Linked DNA regions of Astyanax mexicanus. The protein of the gene in region 1 purifies or fractionates together with the protein of each later gene. This does not show direct contact. Links are inferred from orthologs where the notes say so. Each region holds a gene or a part of one and is shown on either strand. Other genes may lie near its edges.

Region 1 (7,274 bases):
AAGAGTATGTGAAAATGCCCCCTCAACTGCCCTATAAAAAGGTTCCAAGAGGGTATTTTTGGGCAGTGTACCTCTTGGCGAGAGATAATTGGCTGCTAGATAATGGACTTCTTGCAGCCACTTATGCTACTGATGGCAGGGCCTTCAATTGGGATTTTCAAGAAGATAATGTTTGACCACATACAACCAGCGTTTCCCAGGAATACCTTTAAAAGATTGTAACACTTCCTTTGCCTGCCTGGCCATCAGATTTTGGAATTCATAAGACCAGCTGTGATGTTTGCTTCAATAAAAATGTGCAGGATCTACAGGCCCAGCTGCAACATATGCTGACAAATATGCCACAGTATGACATATGGAAAGTGTATGCCTCCATGCCCGAGTTTTTACTGAGCTTACTTGTACATCCTTTCCCAAAAATGTATAATGAAAGCTTTAAAAGGCCATACATGCTTTTACATGCTATTTTAGGTCAATTCAATCTGATATCTTCATGAATAATCAAAAAAATCTGCAGGCAAAAAAAAAAAAGAAAAAGATAAAAATAATAATGATGATGATGATGATGATGATGAAGATGATGATAATGATGATGACAGGCCTAGGCCGGCAGTGGGCAGTCCTAGTCTGGCAGTGGGCTACAGTCGGCCCTCTAATGTTAGGGAGTGTCTTCCCGGCAGGGCTGACTCATTGGAAAAGTATCATCAGAACACAAGCCCTCTGAGAACCATGCCTACCAGCAGCACAAACACACACACAAACGTCTCTGTTCTCCAGCAGTCACAGGACGGCTTTTCCTCCAGCCTCCCAGCACCCACTACATTCCTCTCTACAATGAGGACGATTCCCCTGAGGAAATCCTTCCCAAACCACTGCCTGCATAGTGTATTCTGGATGTGAGCTAGTAAGCAGCAAAACTTTCCTAAATATAACACATGCAACTGCCTAGATTTTACATTTATAACATAACTAACATAAGAGCTCAGATTTAAAACTAAAAATATCCAATGCTACAAGACCTAACAGGCATCATCATCATAATAATACAGTACAGTATAGTACAGTATAGGGCTGTAAGATTAATGATATTTTTTATGATTATTGCAGTACAAGTTTAAATTGTAATTTTATCACTTCATCCACAAGGTCATTCAACCCGTCCATGAGAGAGCAAGACAAATTGTTGTCTCATGGACTGCTAATTTCAAGCAGCGTGATAAAGGATTCAAACAGGTGATCCTCAGAAAAAACTTTGAGGAGCTTCAACAAATTTAGGATCTTAATTTGTCATGTTTCGACATTAATATCAGGTTATCCAGCAGCATTATAGTACATCACATTTCTGTAAGTACAGTCTTTTGCAAATTATGATGTAGAATCATTGCAATTACAGGAGCAGCCTGGAGGCTTTATCATCCCCATCTAAAACAACATAATTCAGTGCAGTAAAACACTGGATTTCAGTAGAAATACAACAAACATTGGATCTGTCTTCTTGTTATTTAAAAAAACATACATTTTTTTATATACACATTGTTTTGGTGTTATAAACAATATTGTAATTATGGTTTTTATCATATGATTTTGCATCATATAAGCTCTATTTGTCTAAAGCATTTTCTAAAAATGCACTCCTTATATCCATTATAGTTAAATAAAGTAAAATAAATTATACTGGACAGATATAATCTGTCTCTAGTAGATATATAATGGGACATGAGTAGTGTGAATTTTAAATTAGCTACAAACAGCAAAAAAAAGTTGTACCCTGATGACTTATACGACCATAAAATAAGATTACACTATTTCTGGATGCACTTTGGCAAGATTATTGCATATGGTACAATATGGCACACCACTAGTGCTGGATTACAACTTTTTTTTGCATTATCTCAATAAAACAACATAATTCAGTGCAGTTATAAGAATAAGAATAAGTCCTATGGTAAGTACTGAGTCTTGTGTTTATTATTTTAAAAATGTTACTTTTTAACTTACACAGACAGATGTTTACTAACTGAATATATAGCAAGATTTATTATTAAAAATGAAGGCTGATTTTTTTTTTTACATTACACGTTTTAGCAGATTTATCAGATAAATTATACCATATCGTACATTGCCATTGACATTTACTATCTAAAAGCATATCGAGATATGAGATTTTTTTTTATCATATTGCCCAGCCCTACTTCTTAACAGTTTCATAAATTAGCCCTAACCTACACAACACAGGTAAACACAGGTAAACACAGAGCAGCACAGAGACTCAGATTTACACACAGATTTGTACAAATGATTAGAGAATGAGTGAGGAGAGAAGGATGGACAATGCGAGTCTGGTTATATGGTTTATATATAAAGTTATATATAAAAGCAGTGTGTAAGACTGGTGGAGGAGAACATGCCAAGATGCATGAAATCTGAGATTAAAAAACAGAATATTTTTCACCAAATATTGATTTCTGAACTCTTAAAACTTTATAAATATGAAATGTCTTCTTTGCATTGTTTGAGGTCTGAAATCTCTGCATCTTTTTTGTTATTTCGGCTATTTCTCATGTTCTGCAATGCAATGCAAATGCTCTAAATGACAATATTTTTATTTGGAATTTGGGAGAAATGTTGTCCGTAGTTTATAGAAGCAAACAACAATGTTTATGTTGCTCAATCATATACCTATAAATAGAAAAGAAGGTGGTCTGTATATATGCTGTATATATGCTATTTCTCGGGAAGGGCGAGCTCACAGTTTTGTTGCAATAGCAAACGGCTGAGTCACGGACTGACTACACAAACATTTACACCAAAGAACTGCAGCGTTTCTGGAGGAACACAGCCTGAAACACAAAGGAGTTAACCCTTCATTAGAGAGTAGGAATGAGAGAAAGCAGTGACTCACGGGTTCTGTGTCTCTAAACGCTGAAAACTCTGACAGCGAGGAATCTGCTGCCTGCCTCATGCCTCTCTCTCCACAGCCCCTCCGTCTGACTGACTGACAGAGCCGGCAGCGCCCCGCAGCGGATCATTACAACAACTGCAGCTGAACAGAGCTGAGCTTAATATTAAGATTAAATGACAAATATGTATATGTATGCCTTAGGGGTGGGCGATATGGCTCTAAAATGATATTTTTGCGATAACGATATAGGAAAACTAAAATATGAGGAATATATAATAATATATAATATAATAGGAATATAGTATAATAGTATAACAGTATAATCATAATGTGGCAAAATAAATAATATAGCATAAAATAATATAATGCAGCAAATCATATTGCAGAATATTTAGTGCATGCATATAAACTGCAAACTAAAACAATTATACAATAAATACACCTAAAGCTTCACAGTAAATAATAGACTACTTTTAAGACAGAAGATCTCTATTATCACGATATGGATTTTTAATATCATGATATTTCTGTGTCACGATATATTGTATACGATATAATATTGCCCACCCCTATTATGCCTTACACCTAACGATTTTCAAACGATTTTTCAGTCGCAGACAAATTTCCAGAGTCGGAATAAAATCACGAGAGTCTGGCTAGAGTCGAGCTGCAGTCGAGTCGTGGTCGAGTCATCTCGACCGTTCAGTGTAAAAGGTGGTTACAACTAAAAGTTATAGTCAGTCGAGTTCGCGTCCCAGCGCTCCGATAAAGTCAACCGTATTTTATATTTTATATTTATTTTTTAACCGTGTTTAATATTACCGCAAGTCTTGAGACTCGGCTCGCGCAAATAGTGACGTGAACAATGTCAACAACCAATAGGAGAGCTACGGGAAGAGGCAAGAAATTATGTCACGTGACTGTTTAGAAACCAGTTAAAAAAGAACACATTTTGCAGTTAATAAGTCTTATATGGTTCCTACTTTAATATATACATTATTTTAAACACAGGTATCATTTCAAAGTAATAATATTAAAGATTTTTTTTATTTTGCACCAGTTTGTCTTATTGTGCAGTGTTATTTTCAATACAACCAAGTTTAATAAATACACGTTTTGCAAGAATTAATTTTTTCACATTTAAGCTGAGTGCGGAGTCTAAAATCTAAAATCGGGGAGTTAAGATACCTATTAAGGAAACATGCTAAGTTTCTCTTGACATCAGTACTTCAACCAGAATGTTTCTTTCATTATCTATTAATAAAACTAATTAGTAAAAAAAAAAAAAACACTATTCCACAGCAGTACAATCAAATGAATACTGCAGTAATTTAACCTCCACATTTACCCAATGAACACTCAGGAGTAAAGCATAATATATTTAAAACATATTTTGGATATTTTGCCAAAACTATTACAATTATACATCTTAACTCAAAGTAACTTAAAGACTAATATGTCATATTATGGAATAAAAGTAATATAATAATAGATAAGTCAAACTGCTATAATAAAAAAGTAGAATGCACTAATTGTGGGTTCTGTACCAATATCTTAATCAGCCGAAGTGTGGAGCTGATACATACTTATGTTTTTAAAACGTAAAGAATTAAAATGTTTTCATAAAAAAAAAAATTACACATTGATGTAGGTGGCGAGTTATGCATAATGCTGTGTCATATTCATGTTAAATCCGCATTATTTACTTTATCACTTTAATAAACCACATTATTATTTTAATATCAGTGACAACTCTATATCATTTAAAAGAACTTCATGTTAGCATGTCATTCTTAACAGGGTGACTCAAGGTGCTAATAACCATTTCTATCTGTGAGTAGAGCTCCAGATCAAGAAATACCAATTATTGCATAATGTTGCTTTAAGTACAATAAAAAAGTATATTCTCTAGGTCGTCCTCAGACGAGCCTTCCATCGTTTCTTCCAGTCATCCCGATTCCCCATACATCTTTTCAATTCACTGGTACTCTGGGCTTCTGCGTCCTTCTTGAGTACGTCCACATAGGTTAGTGTGGGACGTCCTCTTGAGCGGCTCCCATGTGTCGGTTCCCATAGCACCAGTTTGCTGGCTGGCAATTCCTGGTGCCTATGGCAGTGTCCTGCAAGTCTCATTCGCCTTACCGCAATTTTCTCGCTCACTCTTGGTATTTCCTCGTACAGGGTTTGGTTGGTTACATGTGCATCATTGCAGATGTTAAGTACTGCACGCAGCATCCTGGTGTAACACCCATCAAGGGACTTCTCCAGAGTTGGCTTAAGTGTCCAGCATTCGCTGCCATAGAGGAGAACAGACTCTACTGTTGCATAGAAGAAGCACAGTTTTATTTGACGAGGGAGACTGGAGTTCCATACACTGGCCATACCGTTCAGAGCCCTCCATGCAAGTGCCTTCCTTAATTTTAGGTCTTGCTCAGTTGAATTGACCCATGAGCCCAGGTACTTGAAGTCATCAACTTCATTCAGCACAGTGCCTCCTGCTGTAATCAGGGGCAGATGTTCAGGCGGGATGTTGTAGGTAATGACCTCAGTTTTCTTCGCGTTTAACCTGAGGCCAACCTTAGCGCACTCTAGTTCTACTCTGCTCAGTAGAATTTGTGCTTGCTCCACGTTGTCAGAGAGCAAACTGATGTCATCCGCAAAATCAAGGTCTGTGAGGACCACTGCGGGGTATCGACTTGACTTCCTTGGAGATAGTGTGAAGCCAAGTTCCTGTTCCCTCCCATTAATTGCCTTCCTGAGCGCATAATCGAGTACTATGATGAAGAGGAAGGGGGCCAATGTGTCCCCCTGCATAACTCCAGCCAGGATGTCAAATTCCTCGCTGTTGCCGTCTGGGGTCACCACCTTGGCCCTTGTTCCTGCATACATGGACTCTATTGCTCGGAGTAGATTTGGGGGAATACTGTATGCCTTGAGGATCTTCACCATCATGCCTCGGTGTATTGAGTCAAATGCCTTTTTGAAGTCCATAAAGCATAGTACTGCTGTCAGGTTGTTCTTTTTCACCTCCTCAATCATTCTCCTTAGTGCCAGGATCTGGGATGTAGTGGTGCGTCTCTCTCGAAACCCGTTCTGGTTCTTCCTCAGAAGAGGGTCAATTGCCTGCCGGACCCTGTTTAGGATCATACGGTTGTAAACTTTTGCAATAGTGCATGTCAGGCTGATGCCCCGATAGTTGTCCGGCTTCGATAGGTCTCCAGACTTAGGCACTGGCACGATGTTTGATAAAGACCACGTATCAGGCAGCCGATTGTGCAGCAGGGCAAGGTTGCAAAACTCTAAAATGATGTCATCCATGTCGCAGTTCCTCAGCACCTCTGGGGGTATACCATCCGGACCAGCACTCTTTCCTGCTTTTACGGTGGTTTTTGCCCTGGCAAGCTCTCCGAGTGTGAAGGGGCCGTCATTGATGTTAAGGTTTGGGAGGACTGATTGTACTTCTTCCTCAGTTGCTTCTGATGGTTCTCTTTTTTTATTCTAGCAATTTGACATTTATTATTATATTAATTTTATTATATAATAGGATGTAATTACAAAATACATGTTAAAGTACATTTTAGTACACTGAACTATTATTGACTATTATTATTGGAAAAAAAGGTGATTGTTTACAGAAAAGTTAAATATTAAATATTAATAACATTTATATTCAGACATTTCATATAGTTAGTGAATTCAGCTACTTTAATGCCAAGTGACAGCCAAACCAGTATAAAACCCTGTGGAACTGGGCTGTGGAAAAGTACAACTACATTCTTTGAAACAAATAACTTCATCTAATACCTTTGGGATGAGGTGGAGTAGTGTTTCTAATCATCTAAAATTAGAAACAAACTGTGTGACCTGTTTAATGCTCTTGCTGCTGCACTTAAATCCACACAGCAATGTTCCTACATCTACTGTATAGTCTTTCCAGAAGACTAGAGGCTTTTACTTCAGTAAAAGAAGCACAGCTTCCTATAAATAGCCTTGATTTCAGAGAAAACACTGGACAAGCAGTCCAAAAAGGGTATACATCAGGGAGTAGCATGCAAGCCCAGAGTGTACAATATGAGAATCACTGGACGTAGTGTGGAAAAACCCTCTCTAAAGCTTTGTTGGTGTAATTTAATCTATATCAGTATAAGATAAACAATATAAGTGCTTCTCCAGCACCTGTGGAGACTCTTTCCTACAATCTAAAGCCACTTTGTCAAACACTGTCCTGCTGAATTGTATCGTGAACAGCTGAGAACAACAGAGCAGCTCTGTTTAAACATCCTTCCACCTGCTCCATAGAAAATGAAGTGTATAATAACGACAGGTAACACAAGAGAAAGGCTGATAAACACACAATGTTTCATTTGCAGTG
Region 2 (7,842 bases), on another chromosome or scaffold:
CTGCTGGATCCCGCTGCATGTGATCAACTGCTTTCTGCTACTGTGCCCAACCTGCCCTGTGCCCCTGCCCTTGCTGCTCACTGCCATCATCCTCTCCCATGCTAACTCAGCTGTCAACCCGTTCCTCTATGCCTACAAGATGAAGAGTTTCAGAGAAGCCTTCAAGGGAATCTTCCTGTGCTTCAGAGGTGTCAGAGATGGAGAGGATTAGGGTGGAGGTACAAACACACAAACATCCTGAGGCAGTTAATTTTTCCTGTAATAACTATAACTTCTCAAACATGATTCATGATTTTGTTTAGGCTTAAAAACGTTTTAACATTCAAGCAGAACATATGTCATTCCCAGTTACTGAACTGCTTGCTACACTGCATAATAGGGCTTACAAAAGTTACAGGCAAAGTCATGGGAACTAAAATAATATGCATACAATCATATTTTGGAAAAAAAACTGAATGAAAAGTGTGACTGTGCAGAGAAAAAAAACAACTTTTCTGCAATGATTTCAATACAAATAAAACTGAACTGTACTTTACATTACAAAAACAACAATACAATTGTTAAAGTGTATTTGTATTTTGCATAAGACACTATGATTAGTATACAGGCTGACACTCACCCTTCAGTCTTAACAGCAGGCAGTCGTTTCTTCAGCTCGTCCTTGTCCTCGGCTCGTAGGGCAGCAAAGCCTTTAAGCTGAGCTGCACTGTACTCAGGTTTAAAGACCAGCTCCTCACGCCGGCTCACAAAGCAACTTGTGTGGTACCAGCGATCGATTAGGCCCAACTGAGGCTTTTCGGGGTCCACTGTTTTCTTTGACACACGAATCTGATCCTGAAGTATAGCAAAGTCGTAAAAATGTTTTAACCAATTCTTAATTTCAGCAGGGTTACATTAATGAAAACTCAAATATAGTCATGACCTGCTAAAACAATAATATATAAAGGCATCAGTAATGTACCTTCTCAATTTTCTGATCGCAGCCCTTGCAGGTGCTTCTGTTGGATTTAGCATATTCCACTGCAAAGTCATTAAGCGTCTTCTCTCCTTTAGCGGCTCCTTTCTGATCACTTTTTGCTGAGAGAATTAAAAGATACAGAAACAATGATCTATACCACTGCCCAGTATACAACTTATTCAGACCATGTCCACTTCCGAGAGTTTATTTTCCTGTATATATACATATATATACATATATATATATATATATATGTATGTATAGCTGAATTTAAAAAAACATCCTCCCAAATGTTCATACATCTGATCTGATCATTTTTAAAGTGGAATCTCAGTTACAAGGTTCAGATGGGACAGAAACATCAGGTGCTGTGACGCTTTACTGGAGCTTCATAACAGACATCTCTCTGAGCAAGAATGTTTGGCTAAATGTACTAAATCTAGAATCTTCAACCAGAGATGCAGCTTCTCTTCTATGGAAGGTGGTGGACTTAAAAGTAAATGGAGCTGATCAACACTCTTTTTGTGTGGTGTTAAAAACACTGCTGTTCAAGCAAAATTCTCCTCTTTTTCCCCGAATTACTATGACACCCTCTAACTAACTGAACATGTTATACTGCTCGTTTGGTAAGATTGTGCTTTGTCTTATTTATCTAAATAATAAAATACAATTACCTCCAGGAGCGCCTCCACCTTCAATCGCTTTTTTCACCTTCTCCTGGTCCTCCCAGCGGAGATCGGTAAAGCCAGATATGTCTGAGGTCGCCTGCACTGCAGCTCGATGCCAAAAGCAGGAGAAATGATGCCAGTGTGGAACTTTTCCATCAAACATGGGCGACTGTGGAGTAAAACACAAAAACCTTAATTTCATTCATCACTTCTGCAACCAAAGAAGTTGAGACAAATGACCACTTACAAACACTTTATTATTTGGACATAAACAGACAACTTACCATCATAAACAAACAAAGCACCAGAAAATGCATTTGTATTTTAAATACATAAATAAAACTTTATGTAGAAATAAATGCTCAAGATAATAGTTAACAACAAGAGTAAATACAGGCTTGTGTAGGCTCACTGTTGATCTGTTATACAGTATTTTACAGTATGTTAACATGCTATAAAGCTGTACACCCCCACTGTACACAAAGCAGAGTTCCTGTAGTTAAGTTCTCACTAAATCTCTGAATTCCTTTGTTTCCTTTGCAGTGCTTTAAACCTGTGGAACTACACTTAATATAAAATAAAACACACAACTTAAAAGCAGTGAATGTAAAATAATTTAAAATGAAAAATGGTATGGTCAAATATCCTTTTTCTGAAGGAGACTGAGTGTACAATACTTTGGTAACATGTTGTAAATGTATTTTCCATTAGGAGTGTTTTTGTGTTAAAGCAGTAACTAGAATAAACATCCATCCCTTTATTTAGCTGATAGGCAGCCAGTTGCAGCGCCTCATGCAGCGGGACTGACTCAGGCCTGGAACAGCTCGAGCTGCTGGTTCCTCTTTCTCATGCTTGTTATTGTGATTTTCGGTTCCACCTTAAATGGCGTATCAGCTACACGCTGCCGCCTGTGGGCCCACAGTGTTACCGGGCAACGTTTAAGGTGGAACGGTATAAAATTCATTCTCAATAAGACGTTAAATGAGGCGGAGAGTCTGGCTGGCCCTGTGGTGAATGTGGTGAGTTCAGAGACAGGCCCGGGATAATTAATTAACTACACTAATCGGGGTTTTAAACCCGTGTTTCAGACACTGTTTAAACCCCGGCTCCGGCTCCTCCTGCACGGCGTGCAGCGCTCCGTACCTGCACCATGATGGCCATCCTCAGAGAGTCCTTAGCGATGTTGTCCTTGCATTTCTTACAGGAGGCTCGCCCGCTCTTCGCATATTCAGCTTTGTACCGCTTGTCGTCCTGCGCATCGGCCATCTCCAATATTCAACTGTGCAAAAACACAAACAGCGGCTTCAGAGTGAACACTGAACAATCCCAGCCCGCGCAGAATACCAGACCTCACCAATCGACACCAACACAATGAGGGTTTCAGACACCGCTAATCGAGCTCAGAGTCACAGAGGCGGGTCAGCCCCAGCACCCCCACACCGCCGTGGATCTGAAGCGCATGTAAGTGATTCTGTCCTCTGTGTCAGGGTAACCCGCCGCAAAACTTTTTAACATATTTTTTTGTTTAACATTTGTGCTTTAAGGACAATACAGGTATAATATGTCTTATTTTAAAGCCCTTATACAATTCCTTAAGGAAGAAAAAATGCAGCTATATCTAAGAGTACAGAAAAAAGTAAATACATACATTACGTGTATAATAACTGAAAAACTGGGCGCTATTTTGTCAGAAATATTTTTTTTGTTTTATAAATTTTTTTTTTTCAGTTTTTAATTGTAGTTTTTTGTAGGTTAGCATGTTTTTCATTAAATACAAATCATTATCCCCTTCCCTCCATTATGTTATTTGTTTTCCACTATCAACTAATTTACTTAGCAATCAAAAGAAGAATTCTTGCTATTAATATCTGGTTTCTATGTTACTTCCTCTGGTATAATTTGTCAAAATAAAGCATAATGGTTCTAATAGGAATTCTAGATTTAGGCTTTTTTTATTTTGCATGTTTTTCCAATATTTTAATAATGTTGGCATTCCTAAAATATGTGTGTATGCACCGCAAAACCTTTAATCATATTTTATTTGCTTTCTTTTATTTGGTTCCTGTGAACATGGAGCCTATTATATTTGTTAATTTTAATTTATGTTTGCTTTTCTTGTTTTTTCTTGGTTTAATTTATGCTTGCACTTGTAGATGTTGCAGCTTCATTATTTTCTTGTCCCAAAAACTGTATTAATAATTTACTCCATGAAACCATCAACGAGCTCGACCTAAACATGTTTTGTAAATTGAATAAATTTCTGCTACATCTTACTTTACATTTTCTGAATTACCTATATATTGGAAGAATTTTTACTTTGCAAAATAAATAAATATATATTCATTTTGACCTGCGACCCTCTTGCAGTACCTCAACGTCCCACTGGGGGGCGGCGGCCGACTGGTTAAAAAACACTGGCCAGGTGATCGACGCACAGCATTGTTTCTGCAAGTAAAGGAGAAGGATGGTACATAAATGCACATTAAAAATGAAAGCATTTTACTACAGTGCAAATATATTATGGAAGCTTAGTTGGGACGTTCGAGTTCTCTGGAGTTTTCTGAACTCAAACTTTTAAGTTTTGAAAAAAGAAATCTAGAAATCTTTAGTTCAGATAATCTTTTTTATATGCATAAAAAACTTTATTATTAAGACTCACCAACTTAAAAATTCAATTTGTTCTGTTAGTTGGCCTGATTTAGATTCTATAAAACGTGCTGACTATCCTTTAAGATCAACTAGAACAATTAACTTGTGTCAATCACATATTTTATCATAAATCCAACAAACATAAGGAGCACAATACTTTTGTGAATTTAAGTTGGCAACTGAGAATTTATGACTGTTATGTATATGTCATTAACTGAGACCAGGCAGTTAACTACGATAAAACACATATAAATATATACATATAAATTCCAAGAAAAGACACCTTTTAGAGAATGACTACACACTGATAGTGAGTGAGAGGTGGAAGGATACGCCGAATATGCAAACAACATCAGGTGTGCAGAGTAGTTGGCTTGGCCTCAAGTAGTTTTCAACTATTACAATTTGTAAAGTTTCCAACACAAATGATTTACTTAGGCGAACTTCTAACAAGAAACTTGATAATGTTAGTTAAGGCAGTTAGTTTGCTATATTTTATGGCGCCATTCATTATTTCTTGTTTAGTTGGCTTATAATTTTGATTAAAGAGAACAATATTACGTTTTGTGTTTTACAGTGCTAAATAGTGTAATTATAGACTCTATATAATATATATTGAATAATATAGACTCTAGTCCTCCTGTTTGTCTGTATACTTTATTATCTCTTTTCACCCTATTCTTCAATTATAGGCCTGTCAGTGCAGCAATAAAACTGAGGCGTTTAATAACACCAGCAGCACTGCTGTGTCTGATCAACTTTGCCATCACCGTGCAAGTGTCACTGCAGTGCTGAGAATGATCCATCACCCAATTGATACTTGCCGTGTGGTAGTTCTGTGGGATCCTGATAAATAGATACATTTTTTTCCACATAAAGTAGGTTAACCTCCAGTGACTGATAGATTTCTGGACACTTATTACAAAGAAATATTAGACAGCTAATTCACTTGACTGTTTAAGGGCAACAGCTGTAAATCATTGCAAGATAAATCCACAGGGTTTAAATATTTATAATATAATTTTCAGGAACTGTCATAGTGTGCAGCAATGATGAGATGATAAGAGATGATAAGCATGGATTGAATTCATGGTGTATAGGGTATGTTTACACTTTGCAGCAGTCTTAATGAGCAAAAGCATTTTTTTTTTCATTATGTAACATATTTTATTATGTGATAATTAGATGATACATTGCCAGTTTGAACATAGAATTTGTCACAGATTGCACCAGCAGTTCAGTAGAAAATAAACTATTGGAATGGGTAAGTAATTACAGCATTGATTATAACAGCGACTTTAGAGGAAGGCATGCAGTCCTGATAAACATGGGTGCTGCTGATGGTCTGAGAATATACAGGAATCTACAGAGAAATTATCCATTCACTGTTCATAAGTTTCTACTCCAAGGCAAGATAAATATGGCTGCTGCATTTTGACACTGACGTTTAAAAATGATGAACATTACAAAACTGCATTAAACATAGTAACATAAAACAGAGTCAAAAGTCAAAATAAAGTAATATCACTATGTTTTTTTTTAATTGGTCTCAGCCAGAGAATCTTTTAGTCCAGTAAATTTGAGTAAATGAAGACGTGTGATTTGTTTACACTCTTATCAAAATAGTTCTTTAATTTATAATTATAGTGGATATTTTTTTGATTTTCCATCACTGTGAAGAAAACTCTACACTACCAAAAACCCACTTAAGCATTCAAATGTTTCTTGTGGTCATGTCCATGGAGAGTTGTTCTATAAAGAATCAATTATTTTACTAAGGAACCATTGATGAACCCCTTTTATAAGAGTGTATCCAGTCAACTGAAATTCACTGCACAAGAATGCATAAAAATTGATTAAGAAAATGACAAAGATCTAATACTAAAACAATTTGAATGAGCATTACATACAGTATTGGTCAAACATTACAGTTTGAAGACTTTACAGTAATTACAGCAGCAATTTCCTTATTTCTGTATAAAGGAAAGGGGTTCCTATCATTTATCTCGCCTCACCTTACATTTACTTAACAAGATTGTATTTAAAAATGATCTTTTGCAAACATGTTATGGTATTCTACATGTACTATGATAATGATAAAATGTGCTTAATATGTTCCATATAAAATATTTACAATATTAATATTGACAATGTAAATATACAGTATGTATCTGAGGAGAGAGGTATTTCAGACTGCCATTGCCATCAAGTGGATATTCTCTTAAATGAGGAAGCAAAAATATGCATTTGACACAGAATTAATATTAAATCTTTTGGCTTTGCTTGCACAGATCACTGTGTATGCAAATGTCTAAACACACGCAAAAAATCCTCACAGCAATGTTCAAAAATCTAGGAAAAATCTGAGGCTGTATTGGCAGCCTAGGTGAGTCAGACAGCCTATTACACGTACATGCCACAAGTCATAGGATAGCAGAATTTAAAATGATCATGAAGCGTTGCTTGGGAACACCCACACCTGTATGATTTGTGTGGTATTATCTTGTGAGTGAGGCAATTGGCCAGTGTGCTCATAACAATGTGATATAAATTACCAGAGTTTGGAGCAAGGTCTTGTATTAGGTGTCAAACGGATGTGACAATCCATTTCTGAGTGTGTGACATTCCTCAATCCACAGTGTCAAATGTGTATCAGGAATATGATATAGAAGGCATCACCACCCACAGTGGACAGCGCTGTGGTGTCTGGCTAGAATTGTCAGAGTGAACATACACATTTAATGCAGGAGGCCCCAGACACACATGCTGCTGGTCAGTTCAGCATTCCTTAACTTTTTATGGGACATGGCAAAAGTCATGGGACACTAAACTAGTTCCTGCCATGTCAGTGTAATGCCTTTCATCAACAGTTCAGCAGAAATGTTGTTTTTTTTTTTGTTGAAAAGTTTAACATTCTCAACCTGTTATCACCCACAAACATTATGGTTAACATCTCCATGACATGAATGGACCTTTGGATTGTCGCATTTCTTGGAAGAATCTGTGATGGTCCTTTATGCTGTCGTATGAGTACACAGTAAACACAAGATGTGGCATTAATCCTTTCAAAATCTACAGTCTGGTTAATCCTTGCCTTCCTCAAGTTTCAATCTATAACAAGAAATATAACATAAAATATGTCCATATAATATACAAAACATATTCTATACATAAATCACTAGGGATGCATAGATATCAAGTATTTAGATACAGATACTGATGCCTACTTAAAAAAAATAAGTAGTCAAGAACTTGTGCATGGTAATTTTTTGTTTTGTTTTGTTGTGTCACATTATATTTTTATTTTCCACACAAGCTTATTTTTAGGAAATTGTGAAATTATGCTTAGCTAAACAATAGAGATTTGTTTTATTCTATTGACGTATGTTTATTACCCCAGAATGATCATGTGATGTCAGGACCACAATAGCCAATGAAACTTTCAGGAAAGAAAAAAGTAGGAGGGGAGTGGATATGTCGTGTTAAATGTATCTTTGACATAAAGGTGGAGTAGCAGTGGCTGGATGAAATAATTTATGAATTTGTGCTGCTGGGTTTAAAGTTGAG
Region 3 (5,927 bases), on another chromosome or scaffold:
CCCACTACTTTTGCTTTACAACTTGTCCCTAACTTGAGAGCTTACTTACATTAAGACAATAAATTACAGCTACACTAGTTTTCAGACTGTGCGTCAGCATGCAGGCAGATTCACAATGAATTCGGTAACGTTATTAATATTTAGATTAAAATCTAATGATCTTATTTATAATTAATCATGGGTTTTTTTCACCACTTTTGCACTACAATTTATAGGTTAACGTTATCTAGTTGGAGAGCTTACAGTTTCTAATGTACAAGGAGCTGGATGATCATTAAATAACAGATTTACATGCTTTGTTAGCCAACTTAAGCCTGTATTAAAGCGATCCTTGCGTCAAATTAAGACATTTAGTTTAGTCACAGTACAACACTTTCAGATTCTAGTTTAGCAGAGAGGCTATGCTATCAGCTAGCGCCAAACGGCACGTTGCACAGTAGCTAGCTAGTTAGCAAACCTAGCTAAACAAAAAATGAATGAAACAAGTTTTGGCTACAAGGATGTCCAGAAAAAAAACCCCAAATAATTTCAAGTTAGACATGTTTATTTTCACCGTATAAAAAGCACACAGACAGACACACCCACACAAGACTGATGATGGAAATAGAAGGTAAAGGAGGTTAAAGTCAGAGTGAAATCTGCTCTTTTTCAGAGGAGATGGGTGGCCCTTAAAAGGGCCTTTGGTTTTTTAGGTGTTATCAAGTCAGAGTTCGCGCCATTTCTGTTGAGTTAATATTCTTGGGACTGTGAGGACCCCTTCTTTCCCGCCTTGCTGGAGCTCGCGGCGGCCTGGCCGGTCTTCTTGGGCAGGAGCACGGCCTGGATGTTGGGCAGGACGCCCCCCTGAGCGATGGTCACGCGGCCAAGCAGCTTGTTCAGCTCCTCGTCGTTACGGACGGCGAGCTGGAGGTGGCGGGGGATGATGCGGGTCTTCTTGTTGTCACGGGCGGCGTTTCCGGCCAACTCCAGGATCTCAGCGGTCAGGTACTCGAGCACAGCGGCCAGATACACCGGGGCTCCGGCGCCCACTCGCTCAGCGTAGTTACCCTTCCGCAGAAGACGGTGCACACGGCCGACGGGGAACTGCAGGCCGGCCCTGGAGCTGCGGGTCTTGGACTTGGCGCGGGCTTTTCCTCCGGTCTTTCCTCTTCCAGACATGTTGATAAGTTCTTCGCTTACTTCTTTAAGCTTCAGAAGAAAAAAATCGGTGTTTGGTTGTGGGGTTGGACTTGCTGCAGTATTTAAGGACAGGCCTCAACGGGCGCTTAGGCCCGCCCCTACCTTCCCATTCGTCAAACTCGCACCGAGAGCGGACGGATTGGCTCGTGTGATCAAAGCCTGACAGGATGTTTTCGCTCATTGGCTGAAAACCGCTGTGCATAATCAGCGCAAAGTAAAACACCAATCAGAGCGTTACGGTTCAATCTTGCACTCTGGTTGGGCGGCGAAGTTTAACTGTGCTACCATTGGTCTCTCCCGCTGTCCATCAACTTTGAGCGGAAAATTCAAACCAATTGTACGTATTCCCTCTGAATTTTAAGTCGAGGTATTTTGGCGGAAAGTCAACAAAGGCATTTTTATATTGTAAAAGTATTCAGAATGATGAGAAACATCTGGTTTAAGTTTAACTCATCCTATATATTATATATTTATTAGATTTTTTTTAGATTCAATATCAACTAATATACTAATATCCATCCACTTCTTGAACTTTAAAAATGTTTTTTTAATGAAGAAATAAGGAGCAGAAAGCATATTTATATTATTTATAACCCCACATCAAAGTCAATGTGCCACCATCTGGTTATTAAAAATTAAGGATGTACATTAAAATGTACTGCTTTAAACTATATCAAATATATGACATAACCAATTAATATAAGATATATATTTATTCAATTTTTTATTAAATACAAAAGCTAATATGCATGTATGTCTATATGTATTAATGTTCTTGGCCTTTTAAAAATACTTATTTTCTGCAATCCTCATCACATGAATATTACAAAAAAGCAGGCCGTATATTAAGTTTACTTATATGTCAAATATATTAAATAAGTCATATAAAATGTTAAAAATATATTTATTTTATTTTTTGGTTCAATACAAAAGCTAAGATCCATAAACTTTAATGTAAAAATACTTTTTTTAAATATTTTTTTTATAAAAAGTCAAAATGGCTTGTGTGTGTGTCTGTGTAAATGAGAGAAGTGGGGGTAGGGGAGAGAGAAACAGGGAGAAAGAGGGGGGTATATGGACAGAGAGATAGAGAGAGGGGGATGGGGATATAGTGAGAAAAAAAGGTATAAAGAGGAGGCAGTAGTACTTCCTGCTCTGCATATTTTTTACTGCAGTCAAAATTCCACCACAAAGTATATTAAAAAAAAAACAATGCATATTTAGTGCACTGTATAAAAAAGAGCTTAGTATCAATACTTTTCCTATCAGGACCAGTTTTTAGAAACAAACATATATAACGTCTAAAGACTTTTATTGGTGTGTTGTGTTAGCTCAGCCAAGAAATCAAACTCTGGTATAACATGAAATTCATTGTTAAACACAACACTACACTACATCAATCCATCTCTATTGCAAGAAAAATAATGAATGAAGGCCTGTTCCCTATTTTTTTGGACAGCCATGCAACTTTTTTTTTATAGTAACTAAAGAACTATATGTCAGTGTGATAGCTCAAACTAATACAATATATATTGTTTATTTTAAAATTTTACACCTTTATTAACAAGGCAAGTCTTAGAACTTATTTTCAGTGGCAGATTGGAAGAAAATAAACCAGAGACAAGTGCATTTTCAAAAATAATTTATTCAGAATAAATTAAACATTGAAGTAGCCACATAGTAATATAAAGCATCAAATATCTGAGAGGCATTGTTTCTCTTTAGGCGGCTCACTGTTTTCATAGACAATGACATTCTGGGCCTACTAGCAGTGTAATGTTGGGGTCTTCAGGCTTTCCAGGCTTTTTGGGGAAAAGGGATAAAAGACTGGAGAAAGAGTAGAGGATCCCACCTGTAAATGTTCAGCTGAAAATTGCTAATTTACAAACAACCCTCTGAAAATAATGAATGCACTGCAATATAGACTGTGTGTGCCTGAAGCCATTGTCTGGAAGATTTAAGGAAGTCATTTAAGGAGTCAAAAAGAAGACAATGATGACTTTATTGGCCTGGATAAGAAACAAACAGCTTACAGGTCAAAATCAACCAGCTTTCACCATCAAACACCACAGCACTGTATTTATACACTGGAATTCCACTGATGTTTCTACATGTTTTGTCCTATTTTACCATTAAGATGTAAGCAAACTGTGTCAGCGTGGTTTGGTGTGAACTGATATTTGGTGTGAACTGATAATGATCATTCTATATTAATTTATTGAGTCAGAATTGTTCATAATTGTAGTGAATAAACCTGGGCATCCAAAGTATTTAATGCCTCCAAGTAGACCTTTCACAATAATTACATTTTCAGCTCATTGTATAATATATGGACATAACTTTGAGTATTTTTGTTTTCCTGATATCGCCCAATATGTTTTTCTTAACACGTAGAGCCCATTAACCTGAATGATTTAATTTTGTTTGTTGGGAAATATGCTGTTCTAGAGAAATTTCCACAGTGGTGGTGAATGGCTTTCAAAATGTCCCTCAAAGCTCCATAATAAAAAAGATATCACAATTTTTAAACCACGCTTTTGGCCTAAACATATATTATATTTTTTATATATGCATTAATTTAGTTGTTAAGATTATTTTTGGATTTTTTTTTATAGTAAGATTCTCTGGAATAATACTCATCACAATAAACCACTCCAACTGAGCATTAACACCTTAAAACTGAATTATGCAAAAATGTTGAAACATCAGTGAACCATCCATCAAGCTGTGGTCTTTGAGTGGTCAGATAATTTCCCTTTGAATAGCCAAAGCCATGAGAAGCTGAATTAAGCTGCCGTCCTTCACCTATTTATGTTCTTATGCAAAATCGAAGGTGAAACTTTTAAAACGTAAACGTTAGCACTATTATTTACACGTTCAGGTCTGCTCATCTATGCATGCAGGGGACCCCATTCATTCAGGGTAGTCTGAGTTATCTTATTGCAGCTAAATATTAAAGAAATATAAAGTGTGGGCTTGTCCGAGCTTCGAGTAGTCTTGAAAAAATTTTATATATTTAATTTTGTGGAAACCGTTCATGATATCCCCTGAGGTGTTTTTTTTTCAACCTGAAATACATTTCCAACCTACTGTAACTTTAACTAGACATGATTTAAAGACGTGTTGATTATCAGTTTTAGAAATGTTTAAGAAGAATAAACATATCTGAGTTAAATTTGTCTATTTTTCCATTTCTGTTCCACTCAAGCGTAACTGTGAGATATGCGTACTACTCGTGTATTTCTTTAACAAATGAATATAATAAAAGAAGAAGGTGCCACAATGTAAATCAAAGAAGAACCACAATTTGAAAAAAACAGGGCTTAAATATCTGTTGATCTAACTCGCTATCAACTACAGCAAAAACAACAAAGCACACAGCATAAGCCTCACCATAATTCACCCACTGAAGACTCCTTGGTTTGGTAAGGAGGAATAATTTAGTGTCAGTGACAGTAAACAATACACAAAAATAATAAAACTGATGAAGAAGATCTCCCCACCACTGTAAACAATCAGAAAAGAGTTTCAAAAGTGTGCAACTGATGAAAATTAAATAAATAGTAATCATAGTAAAAAACAAACAAAACAAACAAACGAATAGCAACATAATGCGGGAGGCTTTCTGATAAGTATTGGTTTATGTCGCCCCCTTGTGCTGAACAAGTCTTACAGCATTTTACTCAACCACTATTTCTCAACTCACCCACCTCCTCTCCTCCACTTAAGCAGCCATTTTAAGTCTCTTATTTAACATTATACATTACACAATCAAAAGGTGTTTTCAGAAGAACACAAATAAATCCCTTTATCCCCCCCCCATTTTTCTTTGCGATTCCAGCACTAAACAAAACGTGAGGCATCTACCTCACTCTCATAAAGCAGCGTCTGCTGTTTGCGTCAAATACCTACGTACAACGAACACAAAGGGTCAAAAATATTCCCAGCGTGTCCCAAAAGTCTCTGTAGGATAAAGTTGTTCAAGAAGCACAATTTTCCTTTTGTTCCAAATGAACTGTTCCAAATGCTCTAGCTGCCCCTAAACTCTTTCGACAGGCGCCCGCACCGTGTCTCTCTCTCTCTTTCTCTCTTTAGTGTTTTTCTCTCTTTTTTTGATTTCACAGCCCATGCCTCAGTTGTCTCCCGTGCTGGCTCCTCCATTGGTGGCGCTACTTTTTCCCTTGGTTTTGGATGATCGGAAGGAGAAGCGCTTGATGAGCCGACGTGAAAAGCTTCCAGATTTCTTGCGGCCGCTGGAGGAGCAGGAGGCCGTGGACGAGTCGTTGCCCAGGTTGCAGACGTCCTCGTGGGACTGGCTAAAGCTGGGGTCTTTCTGCCTGTGCCTCCTGCGGAACAGCAGCTTAGTGCCGCTGCGGAGGAAGCCCACTGTAAGCAAATTAAGAGACAGAAAGTGAAGGTTCATACAGACACACAGATCTACACTTATTCCTAGTAGATTGCCTGCACTGGACTTACTAGAATATTTTTGGTGCCATAGCTGTACTAATCCAGTACATACAACAGTCCCAGTTTTGATGGCAAGTGTGCGTATATACTTATATAAGAACAGAAAATGAAAATTAGAAATTAGAAGTGTTGATATATACCTAATAAATATAGAATTGTACTCAAAACTGTACTGTGACTTCACTATAAATTCAAGGACTAAAATACTTTAACAATAAAATTTTAAGACTACGAAACTTGCACTTAGTTAGATTAACTTTCTAGTAGGCCAAATTAATAGT
Region 4 (6,849 bases), on another chromosome or scaffold:
TTAAGAAGATGCTTTGCTCTGTAGACCTGTACCCCAACAAAACTAACACGCTTCCAGTCAAGGGTACAATATGAAGATCTGCTGTGAACACATTCATTCTGGTATACCTAAAAAACAGAGAATGCAATTTAATTCTGCAAGCAGCAATTTCCACAATGACACGAAAGATATTCCTCATGCTTGCACACCATAGGCTATGAAGAATGGTCAAGGCATTTATTTGTGCAATAGCCTACAGATCGTAACTAAATCTTTTCTGCAACAGAACTTGCTCTTGGGGTATTGACTCCACCCTAAATATATTCACACACAGTTTAACAGCCTAGTCTTTAAGCAAGAAATTCACCAAATACTATAGTGCCATTTTAAGTAAAAACAGCCAAACAAGGCACGGCTGAATTTTGAATGCATTTTTGCTCACTCATCTTAAAACTCAAAAGAACAATATGAAAGATTTCCCCAGTCATTTAGAAGAATAGGTAACAAAACCTCAAAGCTCAGAGCAAACTCTCCAAGCCTTGCACATCACTTAGAGTGCCATTACTTCCAGAATGGAATTTAAGGCACTACCCCACTGCAACCGCAAATGCTGCTTGAACTGCACTGCTACACAACAGCCTTCCATTTGAAAGCAATATCCGACAGAGATTTAGATATAGATCTGCCGGTCTACAGTGCTTGCTACTAACAATAGTTTAAGACCACCTCAGTTTCCAATTTTTTTTCCAAAATCTAGAAAGCAAAAGGGGGCCTAGTCCCCCAAACTAAAACGACAACTCTCTACCTTGAACAGCTGAAACTTACCTTTGTCTTTCATAAGGTCTTTCAGTGCCTGCCACTTCACATCATAGGGAATGTTGCTCACGAACACACGGTATCTCTTGGCAGGGTTGCCATAGGGCTCAAATCTACCCCCTCCACGCTTTGATGACCTTTCCTTCCTGGGTTCATGGCCGGCCTTTCCATTTACCGCATTTCTAAAAGAGAAGAAAACAATAAATTAACTTTAAGCAAAAAAGTACATTTTACAGCAATAATGAAGACAATAGCATTTACAAACATAAATGGGCAGCATATATAAAATTTAGTTTTAGGGTATTTATAAATTTATGTATCTGTACTTTGCTTAAGTGTTTCTATTTACTTGATCTTTATTATATTTCAAGACAAATATCTTGACAATTTTTGTTTTGCTTCACTACATGCAAAACATAACTGACCAGCAAAATCCTGAATCCCTACAGTGGAGCCCCTGTGCTCAATCAGAGAAAACCACCTGGGCTCTTTTTTTTTTTTTTTTTTTTTTTAATAGGTTGGATCAGCTATTCATAAAAAAAAAATATTAAAAGTAAAACAAGTTATGAGTTTACACTTTATTCAACCCACAATTACTCGTACCTTTTAGATGCAGCTAATGTGTGCAAACATGCTCTAAAAGAGGCTCAGCCAATTGACAAGAGAACAAAAGATCATGACCACGAACCATAAACTTTAATGCATATCTATTAGTTAAATTCTGAAAGGTTAATTTAAAAGGTATGCCGCTATGTAGTCCTGCCCTCTTTTGGGCATGCAGTAAGCTAGATTAATTAATTAACTTAATGGTTCAGATATTTTCAGCGTAATCATTATCTACTTCCAGTACAAATGAGCTGGGTTAAGCTAGCTTAGCTGCTTATTTTGTTCTATGTGAGTGATAGATTTGGCTATAGGTACGTTAAGTGGTTTAGAACAGAGTGCACAGATTCAATGCGGGTCCTCGACTGGCTTTGTTAGCAATTTAGCTTAGCTCACGTTACTGTTTTTAACGCTTGCGTAAGCTTACACAACAGAAGATAGCTAATTTAGCTTAAACATGTTAATTAGGTTATAAGTTACTTTTGAAGTTTTAAAATCCCAACTACCAATTAATATGCAACATTACAGGTGGCTTTTTATACGGTAACGTAACTAGCTGTTTGGGTTTACTGTAGCACTAGTTAACTAACATTTGGCCTTTAAAATTCCAGAATTTAAGTAGATATGCATGAAAGTGAGGTATGCATGTTATTTAACATAGTTCTGTTTTCATTTGTCGTGCAATTAGCTTTAGTTAGATTAACAATTTAAGTTCAAACAGCGGAACTTTTTCAGGACCTCATTAGCTAACGCTGCTTCCTGTAACTTACAATTTAGCTAAACGCTATTAGTTTAGTTTGGTTACATGACTGGTCACATCGTCCAAGGCACAGTGTAACGTTTTATTTTGACCTATTGGAGCAACAAACACTGAAAAAGCGTAACATAAGATAGCCGGTTACTTAGCTAACTAATCTAGGTTGGCTAAACTTGTTAGCTACCAAGCTAACAGAATCCGGGGGCATGGCTGGGGGCCTTTATTCTGAAGCTAACCATCCGACTAGCTCATATCGCGCAGTTCATAAAATGTTGCTAACTCACTTCTTACCATGATTTTAACGTATACAATAAACGTAGTTACATGTAGCTAATGTTAAGCTTGAATAAACTGCTGATAAAACTGTATTTAGAGTTTTTTCTAAAGCTACGAGGTTTAGAACAGTGCGCACGCATTCAAATGCGGGCCCTCGCCTGGCTTTGTTAGCAATGGTTGCTAAGGTTGTCTTGGAGTCGTGCACAAGCTTACAAAACAGAAATTAAATGTTAGCTAGGCTACATAGCATAGCTAGCGTAAATATTTGAGATAAATCTCAGCTAGCAATTCATTTACTGTGTTTACGTAGCTAGTTAATGCTATCGCTAATTAAATAAATAAAGAATCACAGGTTAGTTAGCTGGGTTAGCTAAATTAGCTGTAGCGTTCGTTACCCCTGGCCTTGTTTCTCCGCTACACCTTCAGCCGACATCTTCAGCTTTTCTTCTCCTTTTCCGACAGAAAATTAAACACAGAAATCTTCTGAACTCTCAGAAAAGCGGCTCGCTTGCTGTAACGGCGCAGTTCTCCTCCTTTTTCTGCAGCTCGGTCGAGGTGGACGAAATGGCGGCAGAAGGGCAGCGAAATGGATATTTGTGAACCGTGGCACACCCGTTTTAGGGTTAAACCCGCCTTCTGCTCCACGCGCAGGGTTCAGCATACCACTCTGTGATTGGCTGACAGCTCTCAGTGATGTGTGAATGACGCTTAATCTGTCCAATAAACAGGGCGCTTGTCTGAATACGGGTGGGAATAAATTAACATTTTAAAAGCGCATTCACAGCATGGAGGAAGTAACGTAGTAAAAGTAACAAAGTCTGATTTAAAGTGTTGTTTACAGTTTTATAAAGAAACCATTAGTATTTTATACAGCCACATGCTTTAACTGGATGAAGAAACAATTTAATGAAAAAAGTTTTGATGGAACGAAAGTCCTATACTTTTAACGCAAAATATAAATTATACTATTAAATGAGGACAAGGCAGAAGATTTATTTAATCTGATTTACATGTAACTGTGTAAAATTTCTTAAACTTCTGTATTTATTGCTTTATTTCTTTTTTTCATAAAATCTTTTAGTGCACTGGTGCTCATTATCTTTGGTTTGTTTGTTGATATTGATTAATGTGCTATTTTCCTGTATATAGCAAATACTTTGAATCCAATAAAACATTAAATAGTAAAAAAAAAAAAAAAAAAATTGAAAACTTTTAAAAAAAGTCCTTTATAAACTATTTATAAACCCTTTATAAAGAGCTAACTAATGCTGTCGTTTCATTATGGCTTTTATTTTTTAAGTGTTGAGATTTGACTAAAATATGTAGTCTTGTACTGGTTGATAGAAAGTATCAGTCACTGCATCAGTTCGGAATAAAATCAGTTGTTTCTGATTTGCATTGAGGGAGCTCTACTTTAAAATTCAAATTAATTAAACACATCTTACTTTCTATTTATTCAGACTATACCTTAGCAAAATGTTAATGTCTACTCTAAAAGAGATCAGGAAGATGATGATGAAACAGAGTCAGGGTGGTTAACGAGTCCAGAGCATCATTTTTAATTTGCTTTGCACACTTTTCTTGGCTGATTGCAAGCACCAACATATTTTGGTGAGGACAATACAGACACACCTTTCTTTATCCACTGCACTACATAAACATACAGTTTCTCAGAAATGGGTTTGAGTGATAAAACCCCGTGCTGGATGAGTAAATGAAGACATCCATTGCAAATGATACATGAATACATTAAAACACAACAACATTAAAATAAAACAAAAAACAAACTGTGTACAATGTTTACAATTGCTTATCATTTTTTCTTAGAGAGAGAAAAAAAAGAACATGATTGGTCTTAAATATGATTAGTCCAAATCCAGAGATTGATAGAATCTTTGAGCGCTTTTTATTTTACTTTTTTTAATCCCTCTGAAATGTATAATATGGAAAAGGCAAGAGCAAACCATTTCCAATCACAAATCTGTGAAAGTGCAATATGGCTAAACAAAAAAACATAAAAATAATAGTAATAATACAATAAATGCATGCATGTTTCTTAGGTGAAAAGAAGACAGATTGGGTCAGCTGTATTCATGTTAAAGCAGTACCCTCTCAGCTGCTTAACTCTTAACTATACTTGCAGGATTGCATAGTGGAGGGAACTATTAAACATGGGAGTATTTATAATTAAAAAAAAAAATCCAACACTGTTTTCCTTTTCTTGTGTGAATGTAGTCCTATAATCCTTCATATACATCTATATAGGAATAATAATCTTATGTGTACTGTTAAGGTTATAGGTAAGAATTGCATTGTAATATTATTGAAATTGCACTCTAGCTTTTTTTTATTCATTTTTTTTATCACCCCACATTGCAAAAAAAAAAAAAAAAAAAAACAGGACATGTCCCAGAAGGAAAAGGAAAAGGCAAATATGTTAGATGGAGGCACACCAATAAAATAGTGTTACTCAGAGCAGGTGAAAATGCACTTAGCTGCTGATCTGAGAGCAGTTCTGCTGTGTTCGGCATTAGAAGTGCAATTTCGTCTGCAAAAGGTATGATTATAAAAACACACAGGAGTTTTTGCCAACATGTATCATTCCGAAAAATAAAATAAAAAGTAAAATTACAATTAAATGTCAAAAGCTTGTAGTATATCTATTGCACGCCGTTATTCCGAAATACACCAATGTCAGAGGAGAGGATTGATTTAGAGTGTTGAGTGACACTTCACAGCTGAAAAGTAAACAATAAACTGCAGGTGACTTTTACTGCGCTGGTGTGGAGGAGGTGACCAGTGCTAACAGGACTATGAAAAGGTGAAGGGTCTTGATTTACATTATAGGTTTTTTACATTATCTTTTTTTTTTTTTTTTTTTTACCTCATCTACGGAAGCGAGCACCTTTTTTTTATGTCTTGGTTTCAACTCATTCATATGTGGCACAGCACAAGTCAACTGCTGCTCAGACTGGTCTGAGGTCAGGCCAGCCATCTGTAGTACGTATTAATCCAACCAGCACAGCAGTCGATTAGAAGATTTACATCCAACATACACACACACCAACACACACTCAGACAGACTCTCACACCCTCAAAAATGTAATAATTTAGGTGCTAGAAAGAGAGGTTCTTTGAGAGATGCCGTAGAAAAACCCAATGACTGTAGAAAACATGGACAGCACAATGCATCTCAAAAGTGAAGCCACCACAGCTTTGTTTTTTTTTTTCTGTGCCAACACTGGCACATTTTTTATACAGAAATAATTTTAAAAAAGGCAGGGTTACACTTTGGAATTCAGGAATTGACACCAGTCATCTGCAACATGCTCTTTCTGCGAATTTAAGTGATATTTATACATTTAAACTTCTGTGTAAACTTACTAAAGAAAAAAGTACACAAGTCTGAATATTTTGCTTTAATTTCTACACTACAATTTTTATTGGACCTATAGCATAACCCACTGTTTTTTTGTTCTATTTAAACCATTTTACCCAAAAACTTCACCAGACACAAGACTTCCCCATTGCCGGCAATAGTTAGAACATTATAGAAAAATGAGGATAACTGCATGACTCATTAGAAATTACTTGGCACCCAATTTGCTCTGAGGAAAGCACTGAATACTCAGCTTCACTACATCAGCCAACAGATGCCGGTGCGTTATTTAAACTTGTGGTTCTCAGGAATCTTAAGTTCAGCATTTCTGTGCCCAGCATCCATGTTTCCTAACAGTCACTAGAGAAAAATCATCCTTCGTTTCATAAAGAACCATATTCATAAAAGAGGCTGAAATTGAGTATGACGAACATTTTAAATAGGTAAATAACCCTTTAAACATTTAAAATGTTTTCCCTATCTCTCATCTCCTTTATGAAACTAATAATGCCATAAATCTAAGGCATCAATCAAAGGACCCTTGGTAGAACCTCTACTTGTGAGAGGAGAGATACAGACATACAAACATACATAAAACATACATACATACATACTACACACATCATTCACACCTGGACTGTATGCATCTTGAGTGGCTTCCACAGACTATACACATTTACAAATCACGTCCGAAATGTTAGTGTTAATTCCTGGACGTTTCATTTTCTCTGGACCTCCACAATTCTACACAGTCCATCTCTGGTCAAAGGAGAGCAGATCAGGGTAAATATCAGTGACAGACATCTTCAACGTAACAAGATACCAAGCTACCAAGCTTTTAGAGCAGGGACCGAAAAGTGTTCTTCCATTAGACATGGTCCCTCATGAACTGCATATAGGCCTTGCTTGCTTTGGTCAAGAGGTCCATAAAGCCTTTAGGAGGAGGAGGAGGCCTAGAATCAATCATGAAGATACAATATGCATCCGAATCAATCCAACATGAGGTTTCCCTTTAAAAGTTAGCTCTGATGGTTGGTGG

What was found.
Region 2: the proteins of lmna (region 1) and parp1 purify together in Homo sapiens (affinity purification with western blotting; 3 studies listed by BioGRID, with this or other methods). This does not show direct contact. The link is inferred for Astyanax mexicanus from reciprocal best matches to the Homo sapiens genes LMNA and PARP1.
Region 3: the proteins of lmna (region 1) and histone H2AX purify together in Homo sapiens (affinity purification with mass spectrometry; 3 studies listed by BioGRID and IntAct, with this or other methods). This does not show direct contact. The link is inferred for Astyanax mexicanus from reciprocal best matches to the Homo sapiens genes LMNA and H2AX.
Region 4: the proteins of lmna (region 1) and hnrnpm fractionate together in Homo sapiens (co-fractionation; 3 studies listed by BioGRID, with this or other methods). This does not show direct contact. The link is inferred for Astyanax mexicanus from reciprocal best matches to the Homo sapiens genes LMNA and HNRNPM.

The regions. Positions count from the first base shown.
Region 1 is NC_064413.1:40,511,611-40,518,884, forward strand, and holds the start of lmna (lamin), read right to left. Parts: upstream 3,012-7,274; 5' UTR 2,903-3,011; intron 1-2,902.
Region 2 is NC_064408.1:79,680,232-79,688,073, forward strand, and holds the start of parp1 (poly [ADP-ribose] polymerase 1), read right to left. Parts: upstream 3,005-7,842; 5' UTR 2,893-3,004; coding exon 2,770-2,892; intron 1,796-2,769; coding exon 1,633-1,795; intron 1,078-1,632; coding exon 962-1,077; intron 835-961; coding exon 620-834; intron 612-619; exon of another isoform or gene 212-611; coding exon of another isoform or gene 1-211. Other genes in the region: adenosine receptor A2a-like, read left to right, coding at 1-211. UniProt on the Homo sapiens protein: Poly-ADP-ribosyltransferase that mediates poly-ADP-ribosylation of proteins and plays a key role in DNA repair.
Region 3 is NC_064408.1:15,369,030-15,374,956, reverse strand, and holds histone H2AX, read right to left. Parts: upstream 1,255-5,927; 5' UTR 1,159-1,254; coding exon 730-1,158; 3' UTR 527-729; downstream 1-526. Other genes in the region: phospholipid transfer protein C2CD2L, read right to left, coding at 5,312-5,565. UniProt on the Homo sapiens protein: Variant histone H2A which replaces conventional H2A in a subset of nucleosomes. Nucleosomes wrap and compact DNA into chromatin, limiting DNA accessibility to the cellular machineries which require DNA as a template.
Region 4 is NC_064423.1:14,799,232-14,806,080, reverse strand, and holds the start of hnrnpm (heterogeneous nuclear ribonucleoprotein M), read right to left. Parts: upstream 3,031-6,849; 5' UTR 2,865-3,030; coding exon 2,827-2,864; intron 978-2,826; coding exon 805-977; intron 1-804. UniProt on the Homo sapiens protein: Pre-mRNA binding protein in vivo, binds avidly to poly(G) and poly(U) RNA homopolymers in vitro. Involved in splicing.